3 linked regions of the Coturnix japonica genome follow. The protein of the gene in region 2 purifies or fractionates together with the protein of the main gene of each other region. This does not show direct contact. Links are inferred from orthologs where the notes say so. Each region holds a gene or a part of one and is shown on either strand. Other genes may lie near its edges.

Region 1 (9,974 bases), on a different chromosome or scaffold from region 2:
TTTCAGAAAGGAACAGAGTTTACATTTGATCTTCTACATAAGCATTGTAGAAAATATTTCAGTTTTCCTATTGAAGTACAGTGTATGAGTAAAGGAGAAACAAGGCAAGGATAGGGTGAAACATGCTGTATAAATATATTAATTGATATTATAGATACCTCTGGTAATTAGTACAGAGGCAGATCAGATGTGAGAGATTCTAAGAACAGAATGGTATAGCTGGTGTTAGAATGGAGTGTGCACATAGAAAGTTTTTGAGAAAGCATGTATTTAATACTTCAGCAATAAGAATGAGATAGGAGCCAGTGCAGATTAAATTCTGAAGATAGGTGTCATGGAACTGGTTTGTAAATCAAAGTAGATATCTGTCAAAAATCCTGCACTCGAGAAAGAGGAAGAAGAGAGATGTGAGAGTTAGTAGATAAAAGCAGGCTTGTTGACCTTGCAGAATCAGTAAAAGCATCACAGCTGGTGACAATAATACATTTAAGAGAGAACTGACTCTAGCAGTAGATGGTTTGAATAATCTTTTAGTCAGGACAGTGAGTTGAGTGGGTCTGAAATTCACCCTGTAGGCAGTGATGACTTTGCATATGTGAGTGAAAGTCTTGCTTTAAGGAATAATCAAAATTTACCGCATTTTAGAAGTAGCACACTTCTTAACCAGCGGGGTTATCTAATGTTATCCTATCGTTTGTGAGAAGTATCAAAGTACTTACATCATTAATGATTCCATGAGTAAAATTACTTACCTTTGGAAAGTAAGGCTTTATGGAAGAATAGGTCTGAGGTAGTGGCATTCCAGAAGTGAATGTGTTACCATTTGTGCCACTGCAGCAGTGGTGTGTAGAAATAACAGTAACTGTTGTTCCTGTGTTGAAGTGTAGTCTGACTCCCTTCTGCACCTTTTTTCATCATTATACTGCTGGTTTTGCTTTTTTTCCTTTCTTGCAGTTTCAGGTGCAATGTTTTAAAGTGTAGTACGTGTTTTTATGTCTGCTTTTAGTTAGTTTTGAAGATGTCCCATCAGGTTTGAATTTCGTGTGCGTTAAAGCCTTATCTGCTATAGTGGCCACACAGTCTTAAAGACTGATGGTGCTTTTCCATTCACTGTGTTAGGGAACAAGGTTAAGGATCCCTCTGACAGGGAAGTGACCACAAGCAGATTAGCACATAGGATACGTAACCTGCCTGCCTACCTAGCTCTGAATGGGTTTACCCTTGTTGTAGTCAGCTTATCCCATGAAGAGGATAGGCTTTTTTTTTTTTTTTTTTTATCTCTCATTATGTAAGGACACTCAGTTATGTTAATTAACACTAACTGAATTAGGATCCTGCTGCCTTCTACTTCACTTAATCAAAGGAGATCTTAATTGCGTATTGACCATTTGAGATGTACCTCAGAAGTTGGTGTGTTCTCTTGTGCAGCCCTTTTTACTTTTTCAACAAATTTTTAAGTGTCAGGTGTGCATCCATAATTGCTGTTTTTCACTAAACCATACTCAACAATTAGTGTAGTGAAAAACACAGAATGGTAATCTTAAGGGGTGGGGTTTTTCTTGTTCTTTAATAGTAGTGGATTATAGGGATGAAAAAAAAGAATCCCAGAACTAGGTACTAGTTACTTCTTTATTAAATAAATACTAGTCCGGAGTTTTGATGTACCTTGGTTGTTTTTTTTATCATATTTTAATTAGTAAATGTTGGAACTAGAGTGTTGTACCCGCTATTCGATGACATGGCTGAAAACTAAGCTCTAATCATGCCAGGCATCTTCTGCTGGTTGACAGCCATTCTCTGAACACTGTTATTTTGCCTCCTGTTTGTAAAAGTGTTTATGTATTTTTCCTTTTCTAACACAAGATTAAATTTTAATGAGTCAAACTCAGCAGTACTGTTGATTGACAAAAGAGAGCTTAAATGAGAGTGAAAGAGAGTTACTAATATCCCCATTTTGAATAAACAAATATTTTTTTCTTTTTTTTCCCCTCTTCACTATGTATTACTTGGTGACAGTGTTTGATGATGGTGATGAGAAGACTCTCAGACGCTCTTCACTTTGTTTAAAAGGAGAGCGGCATTTTGCAGAAAGTGAGGTAAGTGACTGATTTTAATACTACTCTTTATTTAGAAAAAAATGTATCTTTTGTACCTCAGTCTTTAATATGTTGTGTCCATCCACATGACTAGAAATAATGGTTGTGTAAAATACACCTTGAATAGTTTGGATTCTGTTTGTTAAAACCTGGGAATAGAGCTGAATTTCACTAAGCTTTGTAAGTTGAAGAATAAAGTAAATGTTCTGTGTTTTTCACTTTTGTATTAGTAATGGTCTGTGGATTGTGGGTCACACAGAAAGCAGCCATCACATTGCTTTACATGTTGAAAAAATCTGTAAATATCCATTGCAAAAAAAATCATAATATGGTATGCAATAAATAAATATACATCTTTAGGCATCACTACTATTGGGTTTTAGTAAGTGATTAAACTATTTTGTGACAGCCAATAAACTTGACAGGTCAGTACAAACAACTTGCAGGTACAATTCAGAGGAATGTGTTTACTTTGGAAGACGTTACGCCTTCTTTCAAAGAAGGAAAAAGCCTTGTCTAAAACAAAAACAAGTAGTGCACACATACCAGGAGCCTTCAAATCTGGAATGATTCTTTTAAATTGATATTGCCTTTTAAATAGGTAACAGCAGCCTTGAAGATGCTGGAGGTCTTTGAGGCGCTTGTGTTGCTGTTTTAGTAGTCTTGCTGATCGAAGGAAGTTTTCTTTCTCTCCATCTTGTTTGGTTGCTAGTAATACTCAGTACTGGAACAACTTGAACATTGTTTTGGAATGCATCCCATGTCAGCTACACATTTTTGTTAGTAAATCAGTTTGTTTGCTGCTACTGGGTTAGCTCCCTGTTTCATTTTATATGGGAACCTTTGTAGATGGTTCAGTATTTAGTTAGTTGGGTGATAGGACATAGGCAAGAATTTATCCTGTAGAGATGAAATATCCCAGGTCAGCAGAATACCTGATACTCCGTTCTCTGACTTTGGATGATCCAAAGACAGGACTTTGGTAAAATACTTGTATACATGTGTTTAGGATGAAAATTAATTTTGTTTGGGTATAAGGGAGAAGGAGTGCTTTAAAGGAAACACACGCAAAAGCACATGCACAGAAACCCCACGCAGAACTATTTCTATTAGACCTTAAAGCAGTGACATTATTCTAGCATTTTTCTTTGGTAATGAGTCAGTCTGTATTGGCAAAAATTTTTTTAATGTGGTAATAGGAACTTGCATTTTGAAGAATTACTTACACAGCTCTCATGAGTTTATATGCCTGTATTTTTATGTATTTATTTTTGTATTTCAACAGACTTTAGATCAGCTTCCACTCACAAATCCTGAACACTTTGGGACTCCTGTTATAGGAAAGAAAACAAACAGGGGAAGGAGATCAAATCATATGTAAGTTTAATGTCTTTATATCTGTGTTTTTATTAAATTGTGAAGCTCTCAATATGTTTTCTTATTAGCTGTTGTGTGTTCAGACTATAAACAAGCAAAAACATCATCAACAACAAACTACTCCGCAAGCTATATGAGAAGTGTTGTTCAGGGCTCAGACTGAAAGTCAGCTTTTCCTGCGTTGCTGCATGGAAGAATTACATCATTTTCATGTTATCAGTACTTAAAATGGTGGCAGATATTGACAAGTGGGCTTTGACAATCTATTGAATTTCAACTAAAAACATTATGACACAGTCTTTGTTTAGCTTGAATTGAAGTGTTTGTAGAAGGCACTGGAAACCTCATGTAGTCTTTTGGTTTCCTATTACAGGGTCTCTGAAGAGCTTTTAGAAATAGAATAGTATTATGGTCTGCAGCAAAGCTTTCTGATAGAAAAATAACAGTCAAGAGTAGTGACTTGATTTCCTGGGTGCTGGAATTTGTAGTAGTTGGGAACATGAAACGACGTTATGAAAAAACTGTTTTTGTTGTTGTTTTTTCATTTTTAAGTTTTGAGGGAGTAATGGCAAAGATGGGGAAGGAGTTGGAGTGCTTGGATTATCCCTTCATGTTTTGTCTTCTTTGTAATAGTTGCTACCAAACATTGCCCTGTGTTTGTTCAGGTAGTAGGGTTTTTTTTGTTCTTTAGTGTTTTTTTTTGTGTGTGTGTGTGTGGTTTTTGATTGTTTGTTTGTTTTACTTCTGTAATGTAGCGAAGGAAAAAGACAAGCTGGCACACACAGCAAACATGATTGCTGCCCCCCTGGTGTCTGAGTTGTTTTCTCCTCTGTTTCCCTAACTGTACAGGATGTTGTTATGGCAAAAAGAGCACACTTATTTTTATCTTATGGTTCATACTGACTGAACTGAGTAAAAAGACAAATTGTACAGCTGATGGTAAGCTCAGCTACACTGTGATCTCTCCAAGATAGCCCTGGCATTCTATTGTCCTTGACTTATTCTTTTCCCACAAGAATTTCTCAAAGCCCAGGAAACACCCTAAAAGAATTCCATCATGTGCTTATAAAGAAATAATTAATTTAAAAAAAACCCAAACAGTTTTGGGGAGAAATAATGCTTTTATTAATGCTGCAAATAATGTCAGGTGGAGTAGAGAGAACAAAACAGAGTAGTTAAGCTTAGACTTTAAGAACATTTTTTGCTAACGAAAAGTGAGCCTTCTGTTAACACGGAGCTTTGTGCGTAGAGATAGTTATGGGAAAAACAGAAGTTAGCTTTTAAATTCTGCATTAAATGCATATTGAATATGCTTGTATTTTTTGAGTTAACTTGCAAAGAGAGTAGTCAAAAATGTAATATTTAATAATAGAAAAACAATAATGTGTGTATGTGTAGCGACTGATGCTGCATATATTTTTTAACTGATTGCATTTCGTTTTAGTTGGAGCCATTTCTTACATTTCAAGTCTCCATATGGTTAAAATCAGCTATAACTTCATCCTGGAACAGCCAAAACAATGACCTGAAACCTTTCTATAATTAAAATACATTTGCATCTTTGTTTGTCTACTTATGTTCCTACACTTTGTTCTGTATGAAATTGAAGTAGTCATTGCAACATATCAGTGCAGATTATTTAAAGAGCTATTTTGGGATAAAGAGACTTTTTTTCTCTCTTTGCTGTTTATCTTCGTAGCTGACGTTTTTTCATAGATTTGGAGATCTGTACTTTTAAAATAGTCATTCTGTTCTGTGTGGAAGACGACAGCAGGCTTGTAGATGACGGCTGTTAAAGTAAAACCATAGAGAGATTAAAGTTGGTTCAAAACTGCAACTGCCACTGTATTTTTGAACAGTATTTTTGAACTGGGGCAAAATTAAGATTTTGAACGTTCTGGTCGTGCATTTCTATTCTTCCATGTGGATGTTTATTGTCTTTCTGTATTGTTTTTTTCTCTCCTGGCAGGTATTACTTGTACATATGCCTTTCTGAGTTTGTAATGGTTTAGTTACTGTATTTTTTATTTATAAATATAGTTATTTATGAAGACGTAAAATAATGTTATTCATTATTAGTTTAATATATTTGACTTCAGTTCAAGTCAGTATTGTTTCTGCTATTTTTGACAGTTGTGTTGCTTGTAATTATAGTAGGCAGGAGATTTGAGTGGTTGAGTTTTAAGTCTTTTTCTATTGTTCAGTCCTGAAGAAGAATCTTCATCCTCTTCCAGCGATGAAGATGAAGATGATAGGAAACAGAGTGATGAGTTGCTAGGAAAAGTTGTGTGTGTCGATTGCTTCAGTGTGGATAAAAAGAAAACCCTGTGGTTTCCAGCCTTGGTAAGAATTTTACCTTTAATTTTTTAAAGATCCGTGTGTTGCTAGACAGCAAAGAAAGGTGGTTTCTGTTGTGTATCCTTTTCAATAGATTTATCTACATTGTTAGTTGAACTTGATACATTTCTTGGATGTTATACAGTGTTTCCTATGAATACTATATGTAAATACTTCTGTTTATGCAAACTCATTGCTAACGAGGGTTTAGTTTTTCCAAACAGTCAGAGCTCATTGACCTATTTCTAGCTCGGCAGTGTTACGTATTACTACCAAACTAATACTGGAGGGCTTTCAACCTGTGTTTTTGTATATCATTTTTCTGAAGTAGCAATATTAAGAGAGAAGTCCTTCTAAGTGTAAAAAGAAAGCTTAGTAATTAAGTAGGCATTACTTTGAAATGCTTGAATCGTTTCTCCTTGACAGTGCTGACAGTGTTTTTATTGAATTTTAAGAAGAGTTGTTTGAAACAATGCTGCTTTGACATTAAACTCTTGGTAGTGTTTGCAGTAACTCTCAGTTCCAACTTTCTAGTCATCACCTCCTGAGTCTTGTAATGTAGTCCAGAGGCTTTCCAGAAGGATTTGTTTTGAAAGAGTTGGTGGGAGAGGATGAGTCATTGCAGTCTCTTTTACAGCAAAGGAGAGGGCAGTAGATGTGGCGATGAGATAACCCTGCTGATGAAAGATAGCTTTAAGAGAATTTTTCAGTAGCAGACAAGAAAACTGACCTGTTTCTTTACTGAAAGCTGTCAACAAATTTGATACAATACCGCCTACCTGCTGTTGATAACTGTGCTGCAGTTATACTCTGTGAATGGGTCAGTTTGCTGGCCTGCTTTTTCTCATGCTGCTGTTAGGCCTTGTGATAATCCACATAACCGACAGCAGTGTTTCCTGTGTAGACTCGGGTAGCTAATCTGCTTGCGTAGGGTGGAATGGATAATTAGGATAACTGGGGGTTAGGTCTTAAGAATTAACGAAGCTCTGTTGCTCATTCTTCCAAGGTATACAAAAAAAATGCATGCTGTTATTTCTTTAGCTTTCATTTGGGGGATGGAGTAGCTTGTTCTGTGTGGAAGGTTCCCTGCAGTAAATGAGAAGCAGCAAAGGGATCAAGTTGGAAGGTGGATCTTGTTAACTCTGAAGTAGCTTATCCTAGATTAACTGTTACTTCAGTAATCAGGTTTACAGTTTTGCAAATAAATATGGTATTTAACCTTAAAGGTTATATCAAATAATAAATGTATTGCCCAAATAGCTTCTTTCCCCTCCTATATCTGTGATGCTCTGTTTTTTATCTTTTCAAGTGTTACTTGTGCTTTATCAACAAAGTAATTTTATTTTGTTTCTGAGCAGTTTTGCTTAATTTGTATAGCATGGCTGACTGTAATTATGTGGATAATAAGCTGAAAAGGCAGGCCTCATATGTTGAGGAATATGCATCTCCAAAATGCTTCACTTTATTATTAATGATGCCATATACATATACAGTTAGTGGCTAATTGTATTTAAAATAAACAAAAAGGTCTGGCAGTTGCTCTTTCTGTTAGGTAGTGTGCTTGGTAAGCTTGATAGTGTTATTTAGTTAGAATATATACTTAAAGGCTTTTGGAAATTACAGTTAGGAAATCTTTTCACAGCTTTTTCAGAAAACTGGGCTTACATAGGATCATCTCTCTCATTCTTCTATAAATACAATGGAGTTTGTTTTGCAAGGAAATCAAGAAGACTTGATTTAGGGAAAATTGAGATTGTGCCATTGTGTGTAAGGCATTAGATGAGATTGTGGCGAGCTGTTTTCTAACCTGTGAATGGATTTCTGACCGCTACAAACTTGAGGCTGCTAGAAAACCGGTAGCTGAAGTCAGGCCAACTTATCAGTCTTTAAAGAGCTTGGAGATTGTCTATTTTAAATGGGGAATGATTACTGTTTTATTTTCCTAGATACTGATGCATTCCTGCAAACTGTATCTCAGACTGCATTTTAAGTTTGTTTTTGTATAGTACTTTCTTTGGAGATTGTAAAGCACGTTGAATTTGGAGACTTGCACTGCCAAGTTTTACTTCTCTTAAGAAGCCTGTTTAACCTGTGCTGTATGATAAGCCACACAGTTGCAGCTTTTGACTTCAACTTCTAGAACACTACAAAGCTGACAGCCTACATAATGAGAAAGACGACTGTATGTCGTACAGTATCTTTTTGTATCAAACACAAAGTAGGACTGGAAACAACTGGTTTAAAAGAAGAGTAGTTTACTGGGACTAAATTAGAGTTGCAGTCATCTGCTGCTCCTTGGGGCTTCATATCAACCCGAGTTTTCTTAACTTTCTGGGAGTAATTCAAGTTTTGAGAGAAAAATGATGGAAAGGGCCACTTTCCTGTTCTGCAAGTATGAAATGTCAATGAATAATGTACGTGTTATCGCATTCATCAACTTTTTAAATTAATGACTTTTATACTAACTTTAAAGATTCAAATAGCTTTTAAAATTGCAATAAGCTGAAGGTGGTGTCTCCGTGCTAGGCTAGACTTAATAAATTTATTTCTTGTATTAAAGAGTCTATCATAGCACTTGTACATGAGATATTATTATCTCCCAGTAGGTAGCTTATGAGACATTCAGGGTCTGGCTGCATGAGACTCTGAGTAACCTGATCTAGCTGTAGGTTAGTTCATTTCATTGCAGGGCAGTTGGACCATATGGCTTTTAAAGATCCCTTACAACTCAACTGATTCTATGATTCCTTATGAAATTGTGTGTGTGGGGGATTTGTTTGGTTGTTTCTTTTTCTCCTCTGAAATTGTGGGTTATGGCATCTTTGTGATTTCTGGATGTGTTCAGAAGAGATCCCTGATGGCAGTGTTTGTTGAGAGATTAACCCTTCTAGGATGAGGAGTAAAATCTACTGTAGAGACATGACAGGTACTTAGTATTTGTCAGGAGGATGTTTTTAACCTTTTTCTGGCATCAATAGCTAGTTCCCTTCAGGCAGCAAGCATGGATCTCTGTATTCAGTAATTCCAGGTGAGCATTGCTTCTGTGTTTTGAGAGATCTTGCTCTTGTGTTTTGAGGGGTCTCAGTTGCTTTCATTGCAGTGTTGCTGGAGAAAAATGAACCCAAAAAGTTTTTGAGAAGCATTGGTAAATTCTATTACTACCTTATTACTCTTCTTTCTTTCTGAACTTTGCATTTGTAATATCTTTGCAGGTGGTCTGTCCGGACTGCAGTGATGATATTGCAGTGAAAAAGGACAATATTCTCGTTCGTTCTTTTAAGGATGGCAAATTGTAAGTAAGGATGTTGAGTCTGATAATTAATAACGTGCACTAGTCAAGCGAATCATAGTGTGAGATACAGTGAATACAGTATTAATAACAGCTCAGAAAGTTTCTGTGAAGATTTTTCTCATGTTTAGAAAACTGTCAATAGCCTACATAGTGGTAAAGTTGGCCTTGAACTTTGTTTCTGTTAATAATTGTTACAACTGTAGCAAACAAAACATTTTTTTCCTCGTACTCTGATTGAAGCAGGGCGCTGCTTTCCAGAGACATGGCTGTGTGCTTACCCAGTCATTAGAAGATGTGTGTGTTTGTGGAATATAAATATGCACATGTACGCACAATAGGGGTGTTTTTTACAGTTCTTTTTTTGTGAGGTATAAAGGTGTATGTTTGTCTCATTATAGACTACAGCTGCGTGTTAGTGTTCTCCAAAATGAGCTGTGATGCTGTTCAAGGGGTGGAAGGAAAACAGTGAAACATAGAAAGTCAGTTTGTAGGGGGTTCACAGTAGAGCAGAGAACTCATCATGAACATCAGGGAGGAAGTTTGATGTATGTCAGTAGTATTGTCTTTTCCTGGTTTTAGTTTTAAAAGGTCCAGCTATTTCTTTTGCTTAGCGTGTTTTAACAGAATGCTTTTGCAGAAAAGATGATGGCATATTTAATGATTGAACTGTAGTTTAGTTACTTAGTAAGTCCAGGCTATTGTTTCTGGAGCCATTTGGCAATTATTCATGCATTCAGTGCACATCACAGGAAACATGTGTAAGTTTGTGCAGGCAAGAGTGTGTATACACACTTCACCCCCACCCTCTCCACAGTCCAAGCTACTGTGCAGATCAACTTCTTTGAATCTAACCACAGCAGAAATTAAAAAGT
Region 2 (10,074 bases):
CCTCCCAAGCAATCATCCAGCCGAAATTTTTCCTGATCCTCTTGAGTGAGACGAGAAAGCTTTTTCTGCACACTCTCCAGCACACGTATTGTGGCTAAATTGGTCTCCAAGACAACATCCAGCTGTTAAAGAGTCCACAGAGACACAGTTTAACAGCGCAGGAAAATGGAGCTGAGCAGTGCTCAGATCTGCTGCCTGCTGGGTGGAGCTAAGAAGCATCAGCAAGGCTTCTTACTGGAAAATAGACCTATGCCAGTTCTCCAAAGGTAACATGCTTTCCAGAACTGCACTCATGCCTAAAAGAACTGTTAGCAAGTGGGAAAACCCCAAACTCTTGCTCAAACTAATGAACACTAATAAAGCTTCCAGTATTTGGTAATGATTAGTTCAGTAAAAAGCCTTAACAGCTAAAAGTTTTGTTTTCTGAGGAGGGAGAATGGAAGCTGAACAGCAGAGGTACCTCAAACCGCTCATCCTCACAGCGGTGCAACTGTTCCTCATAAGGAGTCTTCTTGGAGCTGACAAAAGTTGAGTCTTCAGACCAGGATGGAAATGAAACCCAGGTATCGTTTAACACCTGCAAGAGTGCAAAGATACAACACTGAATAATGTCTTAGGAGCCAGAGCTGTTCTAAGAGCTCTGATACTTCTCTGTTTTATTCTTGAACAGTTCTTCCTTAAGTTTCTACTGCAAGTTTCAGCCTAGCTAACACTATTATGACTATGCCTAGATAATTAAAGGTCTGTGTAGAAATGCATCAGAGTTCACAAGCAGCTTCACTATCTTCTCTCAAAGCAGATATTGCAGTAAAGTAGACAACAGGGAACAGTGGGAGTAGATGTCTGTTCTCAGTGACAGCAGTGCCTATGGCATTGGCTCACAGTGCTCTTTCAGGAGAAACACTGCTTCCAAAGGTGAGTCCACTGCTAGAGAAATAACTTCCATTTTTTTTTGTCCATTCAAATAAATTTGTGCATGCAAACACCCTCAAAAGAGATTACACTGAAAGACATGACTGAGGATGTGTTTAGATAAATCTAACAAGCTGAATGTGGATACTCTTATTTCAATGAATTGGATGAATAACTGATACAAGACTGAAGAGGGATAGTCAGTTAAAGAGGAGCCCATGTGCAGAAGCTGTACTTTCATTTACATAATTACAGTGTTTGTGCAGGGATTTAGTGGATGATGCCAAAGTACCTCCTTGCAAATGGCTGTTCTCCCACTGCACTTTGGCTGCTGGTAGGTTTTTGGGAGAGCACGGTAACTTGATCCAATGCGTTTGCAGGAAGCATAATCTATTTCCCGACTCATTCCATCTCCGGATCGGTCGCTCAGTGGAGAAGCAAACGAAAGCTCTTTTACACCAAGAAAGGACTTGAACTGTGCAAACAGCTCTGGAAATTTCCTTCAAAAAACACAAATAAGCATGACCTATGTTATTTCATTCCAACAGTTTTAGGCTGGCTAATACTTGTCATAAAAGCATGAAACCTAAATAAGCTCCTCCCCAGAATGCTCCCCAAGAGTTGGGTAGCTACATTAAAGATTCCAATTGTATTATTTCTCTTTGTGGATTAGCTTTGCATTGCTGGCATGCTACCTAAAATGTATTTCTGATGTTGAATTCAAAGCTTCAGTGACAAAATTCACAGCACCTACCAAAAATTAACAGAGCAAGGCTGAAAAAGGCCAATGCAGCAGAGATGGCAATCAGTAACTTACCCTAAAAATGGCGTAACTAACTGGAGCAGCTCAGAACCAGAGACCAACTCCTGGTTGAAGAGAGCAATGCAACGGAGAAAATTTTCATAGACTTCCTGACTTTTGAGTACTCTACGCACCTACAGACAGTTTGGAAAGAAATTATCAAACCACTTGAATGTCACTTTTAATTAGTGTTCATATTCTAAGGAGTCTGAACCACAGGTATGGAGACCAACCTCTATTTGCATTGCAGCATAAAAAGAGAACATTCCCCAGAAGTCTCAGTTTCAAACATTAATTTAATAGCTACATATAGTCACTATCAGGAAATGCTGCTGAAAAGCACAGTAAAACGTACGTGATAGAAACAAGCATTCGGGAAATGGCTAATGATCAGTTCCCATTCTTCCAAACCCATCTATTTGCTTTTTTCTTGGTCTGCCCTCCCTCTGCCACTTGAAGTCAGGCAATTGCTAAGTGCTGACACACAGATTAAATAAATAATAACAAGTTTAAAGTAAGCCCACAGCGTGACAACAGGCCGTGTACTGACCTTGTCAAAGAATGAAAACTCCTGCAGCGTTCCATATTTTCCCACTGTTGCTACTGACAGATCTTTGGTACCTCTCAGTTTCATTTTCTTCTGTCAAAAGAACAAACGATTATACTTAATATGTTGTCATTCAAATGCTATCAAACTCCACTTGTTGACACAGAACAGCTCTCTGCAAAGTCTGATCATCGGTATTTCCCGAACAGCAATCTAGCATTGCTATGTCAAGTCCTCCACAGCAATCTGTATCAAATGAATCCTAGTTGAGGAGGAGAAGGATCACTTCAGGAAGAATTCCAAAGAAAGTTTCCTTTGCAGAAGCCATGAATTACCCTTTTGAGGACCAATACTCTGCACCTAAAGGCTTGATGATCAGTATACAACATGCTACCATATACATCTTAGAATGCTTTCCTTGCAGATTATATAAAATAGTTTTGATTTTTTTCCCCCTTGTACCTAACCTACATGCTTCACAGTCACTACTCATTACAACTTTACCCAAGGAATTACATAAACAAAACGAGTAATATGAGGTCACTTGCAGAGAGATACCTTTGCTGGGCCAGAAACAGGACGCAACAGCAGCGGCCTGGATCGCTTTTTGCTGTGCTCAAGATTCTTTTCATGCTCAGTTTTCTGGACACTATTCACTTCACATGGTCCATTTCCTGTGAACTGAAGAAAACAAATCATCGTTTCAATGCTCTCTCCTCAGTCTGTACAAATAACAAATCCTGTTTATCTGAACAAAGAGCATGTAGTTAAGTGACTTGTTTTGTGAAATTCCAAGCAGTGAAGAGAAGTGAATTTCATCTACAGGTTGTGAGTCTTTCCATAATGCATTCTACATATGAACAGGCAGCATTAAATATTCTGCCTTGCTTTAAGCATACACATACCAAAGACCTTTTAGCCTCTGGAAGAAACTGTCCAAACTCAGAGAGGAGATCCTCCTGGCCTCTGAACAGATTTGCTACTTCAGTAAATACTTCTTCCTCTGACATGCCCCGAAAGGGTCGACCTTTAGTGTTAAGCTGTTCTTTCTGAAAAGATACACACAGATGTTAAACAGATACAAACACACGACTCACAGCAGCCAAAATAAAAACACAACATAAACTTCATATAACTATTAGACAGTCCAAGGCTCCTATCCCACAGGTTATCACTACATCAGCTGAAGGTTATTGAAGACAGATCCACGTACAACCCCTCTGCATCTCAGAGCCCAGGAGGTTCGACAGTTTTCACACTTCTGTCATTTCATATGAATATCTATGAGGCAGTTGTTGCACAAAGCCTGATGTCTCATTTGATAGCTGTTCAAGCAGCCACACCACAAACCCATAATCTATCTTACATTGAAGGCTTTTTACCTGATAAGTATGAAGAATTTCTAAAAAGGATCTGTAAATTTCTGGGTGGTCAAGGAAGCGCGTTTTGATCTTATTCACGTAGCTAATGGCATTATTGAACTCTACAGAATCGGACTCCAAAGGGATTTGGGATTTATCTTCTTTGTACGGAAGCTGGTGCCTAAACTCCTCAGTACAGTCACTGTGGTTGTGCGAATTCTCCTGTGAGTAATGCAACAACAGCCCGCTGCCAGGGAGGGCGCTGGGAACAGGCTCTGAGGGCACCTAGTGGCATAAGACATACAAGACAGTGACTCGTGTTGAAACACAGGTGCAACTACATCCTAGCATTGATATTTTAAATGTTTAGCTAAAACAGATTACCACATGAAGAAATAAATGTGGGGGGGAAAAAAGATTTAATTTGCTAATACATTTTCTTCCCTGTGTTATTAACACCACGAGTTAAAAACAAACAAACCCATAAGCCATATCTGACTTGGTAAACAGTCTGACTCACTGCTGCTTTTGACTGTCCCTGCATTATCCACACTTGTGAGGCTGTACCAGGTAATGTGTGCTGCAGTTCCTGTTACCACTGTTCTATGTCAGTTTTAAGAAACATTAAACTCCTGAGCAACAGAAAGATCTGAAAGATACATACTGCTACTAATCAGCATTAAACCACAACTTTATCAGCAGAATTCAGTAAGAACTCTATTTCGGCCTCCACAGCTGCACAGTAACAAGAAAAAAGGAGAGGCCAATGTGTACCCAACCATCACACACAAGATGTATTTCAGTTTTACATTGTAGCCCTTACCACATCTTAAAAACTAGGTCAGAACTTTTGCAATGTGCAATACATGCAAACGTACATAGCCTAAACAGCGCAAGAGATGTGCGAAGCAATATATTAATAGGATTTATTTGGAGTACTGTGAGCTTTATAACCTACCTGACTTGTCAGCGGTGACTGTATACTTAACTTCCCATTCTTTGGAATTTCTATTCTGTATCCCAGAGGGAGAAAAGCATTGAATCCTACAATGAGGTCGGGGTGTTCGTGGAACAGCTGTGAGACGCGTCGGATGACTCCGGGTGTGTCGATGCTAAAATTGAGAAGAATTTTGTTACTTGTGTTATGTCAGAAATACAACTTAAGGCCAAAAAACTACAGAGGTAGGTGAGAAGCCAGATGCCATTCTCATCAAAAACAAGTCTGGAATCTTCAGACCTAGGAGTGAGCCCAGGCAGAGGGAAGGAGCAGCATCCACTGCAGCCACCCACTGGGAACATTCTCCATAGAGAAGAACATGCAGGTTACCCAATATGGGCACCACACAAAGACTGAGAGCTCTCAGCAATACTCTTAAAATTCTTCATCTGTTTTTCCAAATCTGCGTTTCAGAGCAGGATGTAAAAACACACTGTTCTTTTCCCATGGATTTCTGCTCTGGAAAACAAGGAAGCAGACGGCACTGGGATGGACACCTCCTCCATCACCTCCAGCGTGGAACAACTGGGCCAGCAAGGACAGGGGAACCATGGGGTGAAGGCTGAGGAAGCCCCCAAGGTTGAGACAGCCCCGGGGCAGCCCGGGCCGGGCTTTACCTCTGGCTTTTGAACTCCTTCATGATCTCCAGGAAGCCGTTGTAGGTGGCGGGGTCACTGCCGAAGCGGATCTTCACCTGGTCCAGGTAGGAGAGCGCATCCTCCACCTGTGGGCGGGATGCTACTGAGGCCCCGGGGAGGGGGCGCACAGGCCCGGGGCGCTGCAGAGGCCTCGGCTGACACCCCCACCGCGCTGAGAGCGCCGGTGAGACGGAACAGACCCCGGGGGAACGCCGCGATACCGGAGCGGGGCTGAGGGCACCGAAACTGTGGGACCGAGGGGGGGATCAGGGGACGGGAGGATGGTGGGGGAAGGCCGCGGTAACGGGGGTGGGGAACGGGGCCGAGTGTGGGGGGGGGGAAGGCGGGGGCGCCCCGGGCTGTGGGAGCAGAGGGGCGCCCCGCGGCCCCGGGGGCGGGTTCGGCGCCGGACCGGGGCGGGGCGGGTCACGGCGGGGCGGGCAGGGCCGCTCCCCGCCGCCCTCCGCGAGGATGGGGACGAATCCCGGGGGGCCGCGCTCCGCACTCACATGCACCGGCAGCTTCTCCTGCGCCGCGGCCCGGCCGCCGCCGCCGCCGCCCCATCGCGGGGCGCTGCCCCCCCGGCCGCCGCCGCCGCCCCCCGCCGCCATGTTGGGAGTCGGAGCCGCCGCCGCCGCGCGCCCCCCGTCAGCGCGTGCGGAGCGTCTGCGTCAGCGCGCACGGCGCCACGGCCCGGCCCGGCCCGGAGCGGAACCGCCCGCACCGCGCGACGCTTCCGGCCCTTCCAGCGGCACCGGCGGGAGCGGCGGGGAAACCTGAGCGGGACGAGGGAGGGACGGGGCTGCGCGGGGTGAGCAATGCGGGACCGCTACGGGCAGCGGCGGGTGGCGGACGGACGGACGGACGGACGTTGTACGGGAGCCCGGGGCCCTCGCGGTGGCCGCTCCTATTGGGCCGCGATTAAAGGGCACAAACTGAGCTCCAGCGCCCGTTGTGGCATTTGTGGATCAAACACCGTCTTTATTTATTGTTGCTTATTCGCTGATCTTACACGCTCGTTCTGTGGTACGTGGCAGCGGTGGCTCGTGCTGTGAAGGCGAGGGGACCTGCAGGGCTACTCAACCACATCGTTCTGAAGCAGGATGAGATAAGATGGGATGGGATGAGATGAGATGGGAGGGGAGCGGCTGTTTGTGCTGTTTCAGGTTATTCATCTTGGCTTTTACAGCACCGAGCAGATGTGGGACAGCGTGTCGGTCCAGATCAGGCTCCCAGAAGGGTTTCCTTGGTCACACTGCTGTGTGCTGCACTTCCTCCTGTCCCTCCCTCTGATGTCGTTGCACAGAGCTGTGGTGGTGGTGTGCTGAGAAGAGGCTCTTGTGGGACGACAGAACCTCTCACAAATGATGCGACCCAGCCTCGTGGTGGCCACAAACCCATCTGCATTGGGGAATGATCCTACAAGCAGTGCTGTGCATGCGCTGCACCACCAGCAAGGCACCTGTGGGGCCAGGCACAGAGCAAAGGGCTTAATGTACATCCCTAACTTTGGGCTTCCCCTAATGCATGTCCCCTGCTTCCTTTCCCAGCAGACAACTGAACTCTGTTGAATTGGACCACTACTGCTACATGAGAGAGAGGGAAACCAGTATGCTATGCTGTCTGTTTCTCCATAGGACACCATAGGGATGTCTCATAGAGACCTTGGGTTGAATTTGCAATTAACTTGACTGCTATTTGAACCCTTTGCTGAGAGCTGTAGTGCTGGGATTTCAGCTTTTGGCTTTGATATTTGTAGTGGAAATGCTATGTCATGGCCTGAAACAGTGTTGGAACACCTGGTGGGAAGGCAGGGCCAACCCAGGGAGCTCAGGTGCAAGCAGTGCTGCTGAGTGATGGAGGGGTGGAGCCAGGATCCACCCCTTCCCAGCCCTCATTGAAGGGTTGGCTGTGGAGGTGAGGGTATCTCTGGTTGGAGATCCCTGCTTACTTGAGGCCTTCCAAAGGTAAGCAGTTATTTTCTTCAGTTTCTGAATTTATGGTCGCTGCATTCAAGCTCATTCTTATTTGCTGCATTCAAGTCTTTGCTAACTTGTTATTATAGCATTACAGTGTTCTACCCTCTTCTGGGATATATACTCCGGTGTAGTGATACAAGGTGGGTAAGTCGAACGCATTGCTGTGGTTTGCTCGTGGGAACTGAGAAAAAGGAAGCATAGTGCATATGCTGAAATAACTGTGGCTTAGTAAAGTCATCTTTGTTTGTTGGCAGGCTTTGGCCAAGATATTAGGCTGTTTTCTGATCTAATATTCATTCACATGGGTGTTTTAACTCAAACTTGAAGCATGTAGGGTGCTCTAAGGCTGTTCAATGTTGCTAACAATTCAGTTATTCACCAGTTGCAACATTCCAGACTGTGATGGTCTGATCCTGTGTCCAAGTATTGGTCATCTTTTGAGAAGCATGCACAGTGAATGCTTTTCAGGACTGAAAACAGATGGTGATTGGGATCAGATTGTGACATGGAAAGCACAGGTTGAGGTGAGGCTGCCCTAGAGTATTCAGTGGTTATTCAGTACTTAAGAGTAGTGTTAAAACATTACTAAAGATTTTTACCAGAGCAGTCCTTTAAGGAGGGTGTGAGCTGGCCCAAACTATCCTGTTCTGTTGCTGTTGTTAATTTGGGAGGACTTATTCTTGTCACAGATTTGACATATTTTTCATTTAGTTGGCATAAGCAAGAATAATCTGTAGATGGGTAACTCCCATGACTGATGTTTTAGTGTCATAGTAGTGCTAACAGTAACACTATTACACATAGTGCTTCTTCAGTTAGACAGGGTTGGCACCTTGATAATGTATCCAGGTGCTTCAGAATCAGACCTGAACGCTGTCTGTCAGTTTAAACAGCTCTGCGCAGGACTTGGGGAGCCATGAATCCTGTTGGTTGGCTCTTCCTGATAGCTTAGGGCAGTAATTCGCTGTTAATGCCATCATACTTGCATACCAGTGTACCTATTAAAGAGGTGGAATGATATAGCTTGACTAACTTGAATGAAACACCAGCAAAGCCAAGGAAAAAATATCCTGCTCCTAACACTGCAAGGCAGATACTGGGCAACTGCTAATATGGAGTTATTCTAAAAGGAATGTGTGAAGCACCTGGAGGCATTTGACCTGCTTGCTTTCCTTCATGAAGTGCTGTCTCCAGATATGAAGCACTGACCTAGTGAAGAGGTGGCAGAAGAGACAGAAGCAGCAAGGCCTGAGCTACCTTTTGTGTACACAACATCCATTATTGTGGCTGTAGCTCCTTAAGTGCTTGTTTTTTCAGCACCCTTAAGGAATGGCTGTACCTTTGTGTCTGCAGAAGAATATACAGTCATGTGCCTCTCATCCAGTGAAGGTGATGGGAGGGGTGCTCTTCAATATGTGCATCTTGGATAACAAACTTTACTCTGCCAGGAATCAAATTCCAGGTGCACAGGCAGTGATCCATGGCAGCTGAGACAGTGCATGTTCCTTTTCCAAATGCTTTCACACACCTCACCTTGGCTATGAGTTAAGAGAGGAGGATTAACAAACCAAGGGATTCTTGGTGCTTTCAGCAATTGGCAGAATGCTGATGGCTAAGAGGTGATGGCCAAGCTGTCAAGGCTTTTTTCAGACCTGAAAGAAGCTATCCGACCATAAAGAATGGAGAATGCTCACCAGGGAGGGTGTGCAGCATCTCTGTAACTTCCATCTTGCAGACTAGCATTAAGCCATCCTGGGAACCTGCCACCAGCAGCTGGTAATCAGAACTGAGTGCCATCACTGCACTGCCTGCTGTGAGAAACAAAGAGGGAAGTCTGTTCCTGATACTGCAGACAAAAAAAAACAATCTGAGATTGTTAATGTGCTGTGCTTCCCCAACTGGAAACGCCCAACACTGCCTGAATCCCTTAGTCTGTGCCAACAGCAAGATTAGGTTCCCTTAGACATATCTAGGTCAGTGTGTGCTTTTGTTGTCCTGGCGACAAAATGACCCACTTTCTCTATTCTCATTTGTTGAAGCAGTTGCAAGTGGGGATGGTGCATCTCTGAGCACAAAGGCAAATAGACCTTTATTCTGCCTTTGTGTAAGCTCACAGGCAAAATGGTATTTCTAGAGAAATGCGTATGATCTCCTTCTTGCTCTGTTTATTTATACTACTCTTACTTGGATCTTGCTCATAACAGATGGATGATTAGATGTTTGCTCGGGCTGTAGCCATCCCCAGGGCTAATCCTACCTTTGAGGAATCTGGTGAGCATTGTGTGGAGGGGTTTCTCAGGTACGGAGAAATCCACATGACTGAATGAGATCAGGGTAGTGACAGGCACTGAACCAGCCGAGGCGCTGCTGGCACAGCTTCCCAGTTACCTCTGGGTAAGAAAGCACAAAGAAAAGCAGCCTGGCCAGCACATCTTTGGAGCAAGTCTAATATACACAGAGAACAGAGATGAAAATCATTTGAGAACATGACTGTGGTGGGCTTGAGAGCTCCCATAGTTGTGTTTATGTGATGTACAGTACATAATGAACTGAGGTCCTTATCCAGCCAAGCCCTTGAATAAGACAGGGAGGGCTACAGTTCTATATATATGCTTGGTTCTAATGGGGTGACAGGCTGAGGAAGGAATGTGAATTCTGAGAAGGTAAAAGAGTAGTGCTGCATATCTGCTTTTCTAGTCAGCATCCAAGCTGTTATCTCTGACAGAATAAGGATGTATATAAAGTACAGCACCTCCACTCACAGATGAAGCTGCAGGCTTTGCTCCTGAGCACAGCTGTGTCACCACAGTGTAACAGCTTGGAGACTCATGCAGAGGA
Region 3 (9,974 bases), on a different chromosome or scaffold from region 2:
GTAACCTCATACCCCTCTCTAGTCACCGGGCATCTCCAAACCCAGTAGCAATGGAAACCAGGAATGACAACAGGTGAGGAGATAACATTTCTATGAATAAGAGAGTGTGAGTAGCTTTTGAGTACCTTACTACTTGTCTGGGTTCTGATACCCCAGGGAACAAGTCCTGAGAGAGATTTGGTAGTTCTGAATTAATCGCAAGAGTTAATAAATATGACAGATGTGATGACAAAACTTGGGCAGCGGCCCAAAGACATGAGGTGAAGGTAGGCAGGTGTAGTGGTGTAACACTTGTTGTTCTTGCTGCCTGCAGGCAGTCGGTGCCTGTCCAGTTCCAGTACTTCCTACCGACCTACCCGCCCTCTGCCTACCCGCTGACTGCTCACACCTACACCCCCATCACCAGCTCGGTGTCCACCATCCGCCAGTACCCAGGTGAGGAGCTGTGGGATGAGCTGCTGATGCTTTGCTCAGTTGTTTGTGTGCCACCTGCAGCATTTGGGAGCAGCTGAGAGGATTGTACGCTCCATTCTGGTAACTTGGCACTGAGTCTGACTTCTTGTTGGTTGAGGGGAAAGCATGAGCAAAAGGAGCACTGAGCTACATTAGAGGCCTCCTACACACAGCTAATGACCATTTTGGTGTGAGTTTCATACTCAGTATCCAGAATTTCTCTTTAAAGTGTCAGATTTCACAGATCAAAAAGGAGTTCCTCCAAAGCAAATAAGCTCGTTATCCATCTTCATTCCCTCATGTTCTGAGAAGCACGTTTTTGATATGTTTTCATATGACTGCATGGTCTGAGAGAGAAGTATGAGCTGAAAGCAGAAAGCAAGTTGCATTGCAACCTCTTGGTGTTGTGTTGACAAAAATCAGGTGATAACCAGTTTGAATTGTTGCAGTAGTTTGTGGAGAGACAGGAAAAAAATATCACATATAACGTGAGCCAGTGCAGTCATCCCAAACTAAGGTCATTCTCTTGAGACAAAAACTTGGAGCACTTCACCTTGCTGAGTAGCTTAGGGCAGATATGGTGATTTCCAAACTCTAAGAAAATGCCTAATTCGGGTTTTCATAGTGTCTGCTGGTAGCATGTTGCTCTTGACCAGTACAGTGGCCTTGGAAGGACATGGAAGTTGCAAAGTCCATTTGCTGACTGGGAAAATATGCATAGGGAATTATGTGTTACTGAGGCCTGTTCTTTGTTAGTGACATTGGAAGTTGCTGTTGAAATTGAAGTTTCAGGTCTTGACTGTAAGTCATGAGCTTCAGGATGATGAGTTGGGATATGGACAGTGGAGCTATTTTGCTTATTACATTGATTTGAAGCATCAATTAAAGGTATTAATTAGGGCAGTAACTGGTGACACCTCAAAGCAGAGAACACGGTACAAGGAGGGATGCAAACCTACGCTGAGGACAGCCATGGAGGACTTAGCAAAAAGTACAGAGGAAACCTTTTGAAAGATCACTGAGCTGAGGGCTACCTCTGTGCTTTGAGGAAGGGGGTCAGCTTTGGCTTTCCAAGAGCCAGTTGTGCTTCCGCAGTCTCCAAAATGATTTTGTTGGATGGGCAGTTCTGCGACAAGTGTTTCACCTTCTGTACCCTGAGCAGACGTGGTAATAGGAGCCATTTCCAGGGACTGGTGCTGTATCTTAGCTTTTAAGATAGCTGTTTTTAGAGGGACTGGTCAGCACAAGAACTTGATGGAAATCCTGTGACAAAACCAGCTCGTTCAATTGAGAGCGTTCTCAATTGTTAGCAGACAAGCTCATTGCTGCAAGTTAGCACTTCATTCTGTGCACGGCTGCAGAAATTATGTTGCTGTTGTGTCATGTTTGGAGCTCTGGAGAACTGCAGGAAGTCCAATGTGGCCACTAAATGTTCCCTGTGAGAAGTGCAGCACGACTTAGGGCAGGTCTGGAAAGATGTGACCATAGTTGCTTAGAGCTGTACATTCAAATTAGCTGAACTTTTCAGTTTAGGTGCGTCACTGGGAACGCCGCAAAGATGCTGCGTTCATTGTAGCTGCAGGAATCAGCCTGTAATTGCCTGTTGTGAGTCAGATAAGATTGCATTCTAGGTCAGATAAGATTGTGTTCTGGGTCAGAATGGTTTGTCCAGCTGTGTGAAGTGGAACTGTTTGATGTGGTGAGAGATGTGGGAAGTGAGCACTGTTTTAAGGTGCTTGCACTTGGGTCTGTCTTCTCCACTTGCTTTTGTACAGGCAAAGATGTTGATGTTATTAATTGATGTAATGAGTTCTGTGCAAGACTGTGTTTTGGAAAGAATTCCTCGAGGCTTCCAGGGTGCTGAAGCAGGAAAGGTGCCAACTGTGGGTACTTGGAAGCTTTGTGTGAAAATAAACAATGAGAAAATACTCTAGTGAGCAAAAAGAGCACCCAGATTTCTGAGACTGGGTCTAGAAACATAACCTTAGCCTAACGTTGATCTTCATTGTTGTAATATGGGGTGGGGGAAAAAGTAGTGGTATTATTCTAGCAGACAGCATGGCCTTGCTGCTCTCAAACTCATTCCTGCTTCAAGCAGGATGTCAAGTTGACTTTCAGAAGAGCAGTCTATGGGGGTACCTATAGGGTGAGAGGTGGTGGGGTTGAAGTGCCCAGCCAGGCATGACCAGCTGTCCGTGTTGCTGCCTACAGTTTCAGCCCAGGCGCCCAACTCGGCCATCACGGCGCAGACGGGTGTCGGGGTGGCATCCACTGTGCACCTCAACCCCATGCAGCTGATGACTGTGGATGCATCCCATGCCCGCCACATCCAGGGCATCCAGCCAGCACCCATCAGTGCCCAGGGCATCCAGCCGGCGCCCATCGGCACCCAGGGCATCCAGCCAGCACCAATTGGGACTCAAGGACTGCACCCAGCTGCACCCATTGGCACGCAGGGGCTGCAGCCAGCGCCCATCAGCGCTCAGCAGCCACAGGCTGACACCAAGACCTCAGGTGAGTGGACTGAACCCATAACTCCTGTACAGCTCTGCCTCAAGGGGGTTCTTTAACTCTGGGTTATGACATTGTGGTGGATCAGATACATCCCCATGAATGTTCTCCTTCACTAAATAATTAGTGAATGCAATTCATTGGCTTTTTTCAGGCACTCTGGGTAGAATATATGGGTAGTGTTGGATGGGTTGTGTGTGCAGGAAAAACTTGACAGTGCAGTCATTGGTTCTCTTCAGTCCATCCTTGTGGGAAGAGCTATTTACAAGCAGATGCTCACTGAACTGTTACAGCTGTGTTGGGTCACTGCAGCAGTAAAACATGGTGAGGTGCCTCCAGTTCAGACTGTGATTAAAAGCCCTTTTTTCACAAGGAAGGGTTTGTGTGATCAGATCCCAGTGATGGACTGAAGGGAAAATGGCAGCTAGGAGCTACCATTGTGCTGGCAGATAGCACTGCGACTCCCTGCCTTGTTGTTCTGCATGTTAGTTTTCCTGGCAGGGCTTGGTGAGCAGCTCAGAATCTGAGCAGAGCTGCCAGCTCACTTACAAAGTTCAAAGTTGCCACGTGGCCTCCACCAGCAGCCCCTGTTGTGTTGCTGACCTCCCTGGCAATTTGTGTGTCTTCCATTTCTTCTGGAAGAAGTATTTCTGTAGCCAGTAGTTGTTAGGCAGGGGGTGGCTGTTATCTGCCCTGCAGGAGGCCTTGTTGGCAGATTAGTAGTAGTTATGGTGTTAGTTATAGAGTACTGGAAGCGCTGCAGCTAAATATTGGGGGAGTCAAAGGAGCAGAGACAGCATCTGTTCTGCAGACACCTGCTTTGTTGTCAGACCTCCTTCAGTAACTGCTCCTTTTTCCTCTGTTCCTCTCTCTGCTCTGCCAACATCCATCCTCCCCAGCAGTAGTACTGGCAGATGGAGCCACCATTGTAGCCAACCCTATTAGCAACACCTTCAACACTGCTTCTGCAGCAACTACAGTTGTACAGACCCACAGCCAGAGTGCCAGTGCCCCAGCACAGGGCTCTTCCCCACGCCCCAGCATCCTGCGGAAGAAACCAACCACAGATGGGTGAGTAAGATTGAAGGGGGGACGCAGAAATGGCACCTGTGTTCAATCTAGCCCAGCTACATGGCAGTATTTGATTGTGGATAGGACGTTATACAGTCAGCAAGTGGTTGCAAGTGACCTGCTGATCTGTGAAGCACAGTTTCTTCTCCTCCAGGATGGATCATAGCTGCTTCCTCCTCTCTGTAATAAGATGTCTTTTGAAAGTGACCTTTAAAGGGAAAGTGGTTTTTGTTAAGCTAAGCAAGAAAGCCTCAAATCCAAAGAGGTCAATTACTAAAATTAGAAATCCATGCTTTGCTTTCAGAGCTTTTCTTGGAAGGGTGTGTGGATGAATAGTAAGGGTGGATTGGTACCCTGCTGTGCAAACTGATTAGGGAAAGGGGAGGGAATCACTTAAAATACTTCATGTTCTCTAGCTTAATTTCAATTGCCTGAATAAAAGAGGCAGGAGAAAGCATTAGAATTAACAATCCATTTCCTCCTGATTAATGACTGAATATGTTTGGAGCTGATATGTGCTATGAGGCTAAACCGTGGTGCTTCTTTTTCATTTGGGTGGAATCCTTTAAGGCAGAGAAGTTGCAAGCTGTAAAACCAAGGCATAAATTACAGAAGCAGCTGCAGATCACCGGAGAATGTTCCCATTTGAGCGTCTGATTATTTGGAAGACAGTCTTTCTTTCAGCCTCACAGGGGACTGAAAAGTCTCTTAAATGTTTTTCTGTGTGCAGCACTGAGCTGTGTAACGTCCACGTGCAGGTCTGGAGATCCTGGAGCCAGGCTTTGGCACAGTCTGCTCCAACTAAGTAAAGCAGTTGCCCATCTTAGTGCTGTGCTGTTTAGTTCCGGATAATTTGCTCTGTCCTGAGGTTATGTGGGATGTTGGTGTGGCCAGATCTCCCTTCCCCCCCCCCCCCACATCTGGAGCCTGGCAGTCTCAATAAGATGCCTTGACTGGCAAAGTGAAAGTAAGGCTGGTATTTCTGGAGAAACCCCAAATGTGAGGGAGTCTCAGCCAGAGCAACTAATCTCTTATCTTTAAAGAAAATAAAACCTAGAGGCTTGGTTAAGAACAAGACTTTCTATAGCAGGTTGGTTAGAGTGAGTGCACACAGAGAGAGATTTGACTCCGATCCTGGATTTGGCAAGAGGGGATTGATTCCTTTCCTTTCAGTGGTGTTTATCTTTGCATCAGAGGTGGGAACTTCAGATGTGCCCTTGTCTTACAGCCTGGCAGTCCGGAAAAGCTTAATTCCACCTCAGCCACCTGAAGTAGCGAGCACACGTGTTGAGAATACGATGCGAAGCACGTCTGGATCACCAAGGCCTGCTGGGTAAGACAGGGAGAAAAGCAACTACGTCGTACTGGCTTCATTTGTGTGTCTGATTTGTGGTGTTTGGGCATTGAGGTGCTTTCTTTTGGAAAAGGTGTTTTATATTTGTCAGTGTGATGAGTTTGAATGGATGTACTTGTGTTCCGAAGCTGAGGCGATGGGCTTTTAAAGGGTACAGTTATGAGTTTGGGTGGAGGTAGTGACAAGAAAATCACCATGTTGTGTTAAAGGCCGTGCTGTAGAACTTTTCTCTATAATTCTTTGACGTTAACTCTAAAGGAAGCTGAATTCTACCTGCTTCACTTGTATCCGGTGGCTTTTGTAATTCATTGTTTTAAAACCACTAGCCCCAGAGTGTGAGCTCTCACAAAAAGGATGAGGGCAGTACAGCTTTGGGCACACGTTCTATTTGTTTGCACTGTGAAGCTGCACTGCTCCTTTTGTGAGCGTTTTGAGGCCATCTGCAGTCAGTCGTGAGATGTGCATGTGCATTAGAAGAGAACAGCACCTTAGACAAAGGGCTTAGAGAGCACAGCTGAGATGACACACACTCCTGCTACTACAGTCATTACCCAGCCAGGTGTTACTGGTACAGGAAGAAACTGACCCAAGTCCAGCTGGTCTCATTTACTTTGTGCTAGAAGGTTGTGACCGAGATGCAGTTGACATCAATTTGTTTTACTTTTCTTTCAATGTCACAGTGCCAAACCAAAACCTGAGATTCACGTGTCCATGGCCACTCCTGTCACAGTGTCTATGGAGGCTGTGTCCAACCAAGGCAGTGAGCAGCCCACCATCGCGGTTCCTCCTTCCTCCCAGCAGCCCCCCTCTGCCATTCCAACCATCATTGCCGCAGCCAGCCCCACCTCGCAGCCTGCAGCAGCTCTGTCCACCATTCCAGGAGCCGTCCCAGCTGCTCCACCGACTTCTACCACAATTGTGGCTGCTCCTGCTCCTCCAGCAACCATGAGTGGGGCCCTTTCAGCAGTGCTGGGACCTGTGGTGCCAGAGATAAAAATCAAAGAGGAGGTGGAACCTATGGACATAATGCGACCGGTATCTGGTAGGTGGTTTTTGAAGCATCAAGGTGTTTCTCTTGTTGAGAAAGTGGATAAATTAGGATTTCAACACAAGCAACCTGAAAATGGAATGACTTCTCTTTCACAGTAGCACAGAAAATAAGTCAAGGAGTTCCTTCACGCCTCACTTTCTTATAGTTCTGATCCCTGCCTACTGCTTTTCAATATAGAACAAGGGACTTGGTTTTGTGACATGACTGAGGTATGACATGCTATATGAGCACAGTATGAAGTCTTAATGGCCCAGTAAATAAAATGGAAAGCAACGATTCAGGTTAAGCTGACACAAGTTAGTAACTCCTAGAAGGAAAGGGCATTGCAGCGTCTGAGAGGGTTCCTGTCTCAGGTACTAAGAACCGCAGAACAGCAACTAGGTGAGCATCTCTAGGTTCTAATTTGCCTTGTTCTCCTTGATCTCCTGTGGAAACCACTTGGGGTTGGAGCTGCTTTCTTCATTTTCAAACAGTCCAGTTGCAAAGAGTGTATGAATTGCATGCTTAGAACACAGTCAGCAGCAGAGCCAGTATAATACAAACCAGTGCAGTTAATCTCAATTGAGATTTCATCCCAGACATTTGCTGTGTATTACGTGGCACGCTTGGTTCAGTCCCTGCAAATGTAAAGGGTTATTTTCCCCTCAGGCTCCCGCTGCTGTGCTGCCAAGCTCCAGCAGTCTGTTGGTTTGTACAGCAGCCTGCTGACACTGGCTGTTGACTTGGCAGTATAAGTGCACTGACAAGGAGAGCACTGCAGTCATGGTTTGACTACATCTGCCTCTACCTGCACTGAAGAGGGGACTTGCCTGTTTTTGATTGTGATCTGTGGTGAAACATCAATTCAAAGATGTTTTCTTTACTGACCATGTGAGAGATATTAGCACAGGTTCCTTTTCAATAGCATTCAACTGCTGCAAGCCTTGAAGGTGAAGGAACTGAGTGAGAACAGTCTCTTGTCATTTTTTGTTCTGAGGATCTTAGAATACAGGCATTGTCCTAGTGATGAGTCCTGGTTCTCATATACTAAGGGATGAACTGCATCTGTGGTGGAGCCCATGTTTCTCACAACGCACTGAGAGGAGATGGTGTTAAAACACAGTACTGCTACCTCTGTGCCACTGGTAGTTGAGGTTCTTCTCCTTTCTCTCCTTCCAGCAGTCCCTCCATTGACTACAAGTACTGTCTCTCCATCTTTGGCACTGCTGGCCAACAACCTTTCGATGCCTCCAAGTGATTTGCCGCCTGGTGCCTCCCCAAGGAAAAAACCCCGTAAGCAGCAGCACGTCATCTCCACAGAGGAGGGAGACATGATGGAAACAAACAGCACTGATGATGAGAAATCTACTGCCAAAAGCTTGCTGGTGAAGGCAGAGAAGCGCAAGTCTCCTCCCAAGGAATATATAGGTAATGCCATCTCTGACACTCTTCTCCTACTTGAACATCTGTGTTTTACCTGTTGCCTGTCACGATTGCTGCCGTGCTGGTCTCCCATGTCACAATAGTAACACAGCTGTCTGTGATCCCTTTTGTAGATGAGGAAGGTGTGAGGTATGTCCCGGTGCGTCCCAGGCCTCCCATCACATTGCTCCGCCACTACCGCAATCCTTGGAAAGCCGCCTACCACCACTTCCAGAGATACAGCGACGTCAGAGTGAAAGGTCAGTGTGCTGCCTGAGGAGCTGCATGGGCTGATGATGATGATGATAAGCTGCCCCACAAGCAGGCTTTGCTCACAGTATGGAACACAAGCGTTGGTCACTCACGTGAGCTAATGACTTAGTTAGCTAGATGTTGCTTAGATCTTTTCTCTCTCAAGACTGAGAAGAAAAGGGGAGGATCTTCTATAGAGTCAGATACAATTCTAACTGTCTGGTTAACCGAAAATGTTATGTTACTGAGAAATGTATTTATGTACAAGGATAGAAACTGCCTAAAGAAATTCCTAAATAGATTATATAGCGGTAGGCTATGGCTTGGCACTCAGATTGCCTTACTACCTAACAGTGCTGCCAATGTAATCAAAAGCGTTCCCTATTTAATGAGTCTCGTGAGCTAACAGATGGGCCTGGTGCGTTTCTATGGGATGTTTCTGATAGTAAGAGGAAAACTGAGATCAGGTTCTGTGATTTGGACTTTGTGGCTGGTAGGAAGGAGCAGATAGGTATTGCAGCAGTGTGAGATGGACTGCTTGCTTCTTCATGTACAGTGTTGGAAGCAACACCTCGTTTTAGAGGAAGAAAGGGAAAATCAACATTGCAAACAATAAAAAATGATCTGAAAATGCAGATGAGCCATTGGGGGGTGAGAGCAGCCTTCAGGTAACGTGGCAGATGAGTCGTTATGTTCCTGTCCCAATCAAAGTGTTGCTGACTCTTCCTTAAGCAGGATGTGTGGAAAGCAGGAGCTGGGTTAAAGCTTTTGTTTGAGAACAGAGGCCTGGTGGACTCCTGAAACTTGAACCTCTATTTGTGTTTTTTGGTGACAGAAGAGAAGAAAGCCATGCTGCAGGAGATTGCCAGTCAGAAGGGTGTATCCTGCCGTGCACAAGGGTGGAAGGTCCATCTGTGTGCGGCGCAGCTGCTGCAGTTGGTAGGTGCATGGGACGTGCCGGCTGCCTGTACCGCGGGGAACACGGAGCTCTGTAAGGCAGGATGTTATCACAAACTCAGTACATGCTCACCTGATGCAGGGATGCCATAAGCTGGTGTGTAGCGCCCAAAGGGAGTGGGACACGCTTTTCCCCTTTCTCAGGAATGTGGCGTTAAGTGGCTTGGAAACTTAGTGTTGGTTTTGATCCAGACATAAGAGCTGATGTATTTTGTACAGATGATCAAAATTGGCAACTCCCTCCTGCTGATGCACAGGTCTGAAGAAGCGTCTGTTTGGGATGGTGCGGCTGATCTGAGGAGGCAGCACTGATCCACATTCCTGGATGCTTCTGTTTCAGGTTGGGGGTGAGGTAGGTGCTCTGCATTCTAGCACCAAACTCCCCAAAACCTCTGCATTCCTGGAATAGTATTGTGAGAGACAGGGGAAACAGTTCTGGCTAGGTTCCATGTTTGTTCAGAAGTGGAGCAATGCTGTGAATAGGATGTTTAGTAAGAACAATAATGCCACACTCAGCATCAGAGGCTCCATCTTCTGAATGACTAACATGAGCAGCTGAGAGGGGAACAGACGATTGTCTTCTCTGTGTAGATTTCATAATGTGGGCAGATGTTTTATGGGCCCGGTGGTGAACCTGCTCATGAAGTGCTGTTGTCTTGTAGACAAACCTGGAGCGTGACGTGTATGAGAGACTGACGGCCTTACAGGAGGGGCTCATTCCTAAGAAGAAGGCAGCAACTGACGATGACCTGCATCGAATCAATGAGCTGATACAGGTAGGCTCCTACTGGCCCCTAAGCTCAGAAGAACTCTTCTACCTTTAGTAATTGCAGCAGGATGTTTTCCAAGTAAGTGCTGAATCTGGCTTTAAAAATAACACAATAATAAAGGTGCTTCTCCTGCGTCATTGGTTAGTGGGGGCTT

What was found.
Region 1: the proteins of SIN3B (region 2) and ARID4B purify together in Homo sapiens (affinity purification with mass spectrometry; 3 studies listed by BioGRID and IntAct, with this or other methods). This does not show direct contact. The link is inferred for Coturnix japonica from reciprocal best matches to the Homo sapiens genes SIN3B and ARID4B.
Region 3: the proteins of SIN3B (region 2) and SAP130 purify together in Homo sapiens (affinity purification with mass spectrometry; 3 studies listed by BioGRID and IntAct, with this or other methods). This does not show direct contact. The link is inferred for Coturnix japonica from reciprocal best matches to the Homo sapiens genes SIN3B and SAP130.

Annotation. Positions count from the first base shown.
Region 1 is NC_029518.1:34,282,476-34,292,449, forward strand, and holds part of ARID4B (AT-rich interactive domain-containing protein 4B), read left to right. Parts: intron 1-2,016; coding exon 2,017-2,096; intron 2,097-3,381; coding exon 3,382-3,473; intron 3,474-5,677; coding exon 5,678-5,816; intron 5,817-9,022; coding exon 9,023-9,102; intron 9,103-9,974. UniProt on the Homo sapiens protein: Acts as a transcriptional repressor. May function in the assembly and/or enzymatic activity of the Sin3A corepressor complex or in mediating interactions between the complex and other regulatory complexes.
Region 2 is NC_029543.1:3,321,281-3,331,354, forward strand, and holds the start of SIN3B (paired amphipathic helix protein Sin3b), read right to left. Parts: upstream 5,850-10,074; 5' UTR 5,767-5,849; intron 5,344-5,766; 5' UTR 5,260-5,343; coding exon 5,237-5,259; intron 4,735-5,236; coding exon 4,581-4,734; intron 3,908-4,580; coding exon 3,644-3,907; intron 3,311-3,643; coding exon 3,167-3,310; intron 2,943-3,166; coding exon 2,820-2,942; intron 2,355-2,819; coding exon 2,265-2,354; intron 1,849-2,264; coding exon 1,730-1,848; intron 1,413-1,729; coding exon 1,205-1,412; intron 578-1,204; coding exon 461-577; intron 123-460; coding exon 1-122.
Region 3 is NC_029524.1:1,637,239-1,647,212, forward strand, and holds part of SAP130 (histone deacetylase complex subunit SAP130), read left to right. Parts: coding exon 1-73; intron 74-313; coding exon 314-435; intron 436-2,664; coding exon 2,665-2,967; intron 2,968-3,863; coding exon 3,864-4,035; intron 4,036-5,263; coding exon 5,264-5,368; intron 5,369-6,069; coding exon 6,070-6,431; intron 6,432-7,598; coding exon 7,599-7,847; intron 7,848-7,975; coding exon 7,976-8,101; intron 8,102-8,928; coding exon 8,929-9,032; intron 9,033-9,269; coding exon of another isoform or gene 9,270-9,362; exon of another isoform or gene 9,363-9,402; intron 9,403-9,712; coding exon 9,713-9,826; exon of another isoform or gene 9,827-9,827; intron 9,828-9,974. UniProt on the Homo sapiens protein: Acts as a transcriptional repressor. May function in the assembly and/or enzymatic activity of the mSin3A corepressor complex or in mediating interactions between the complex and other regulatory complexes.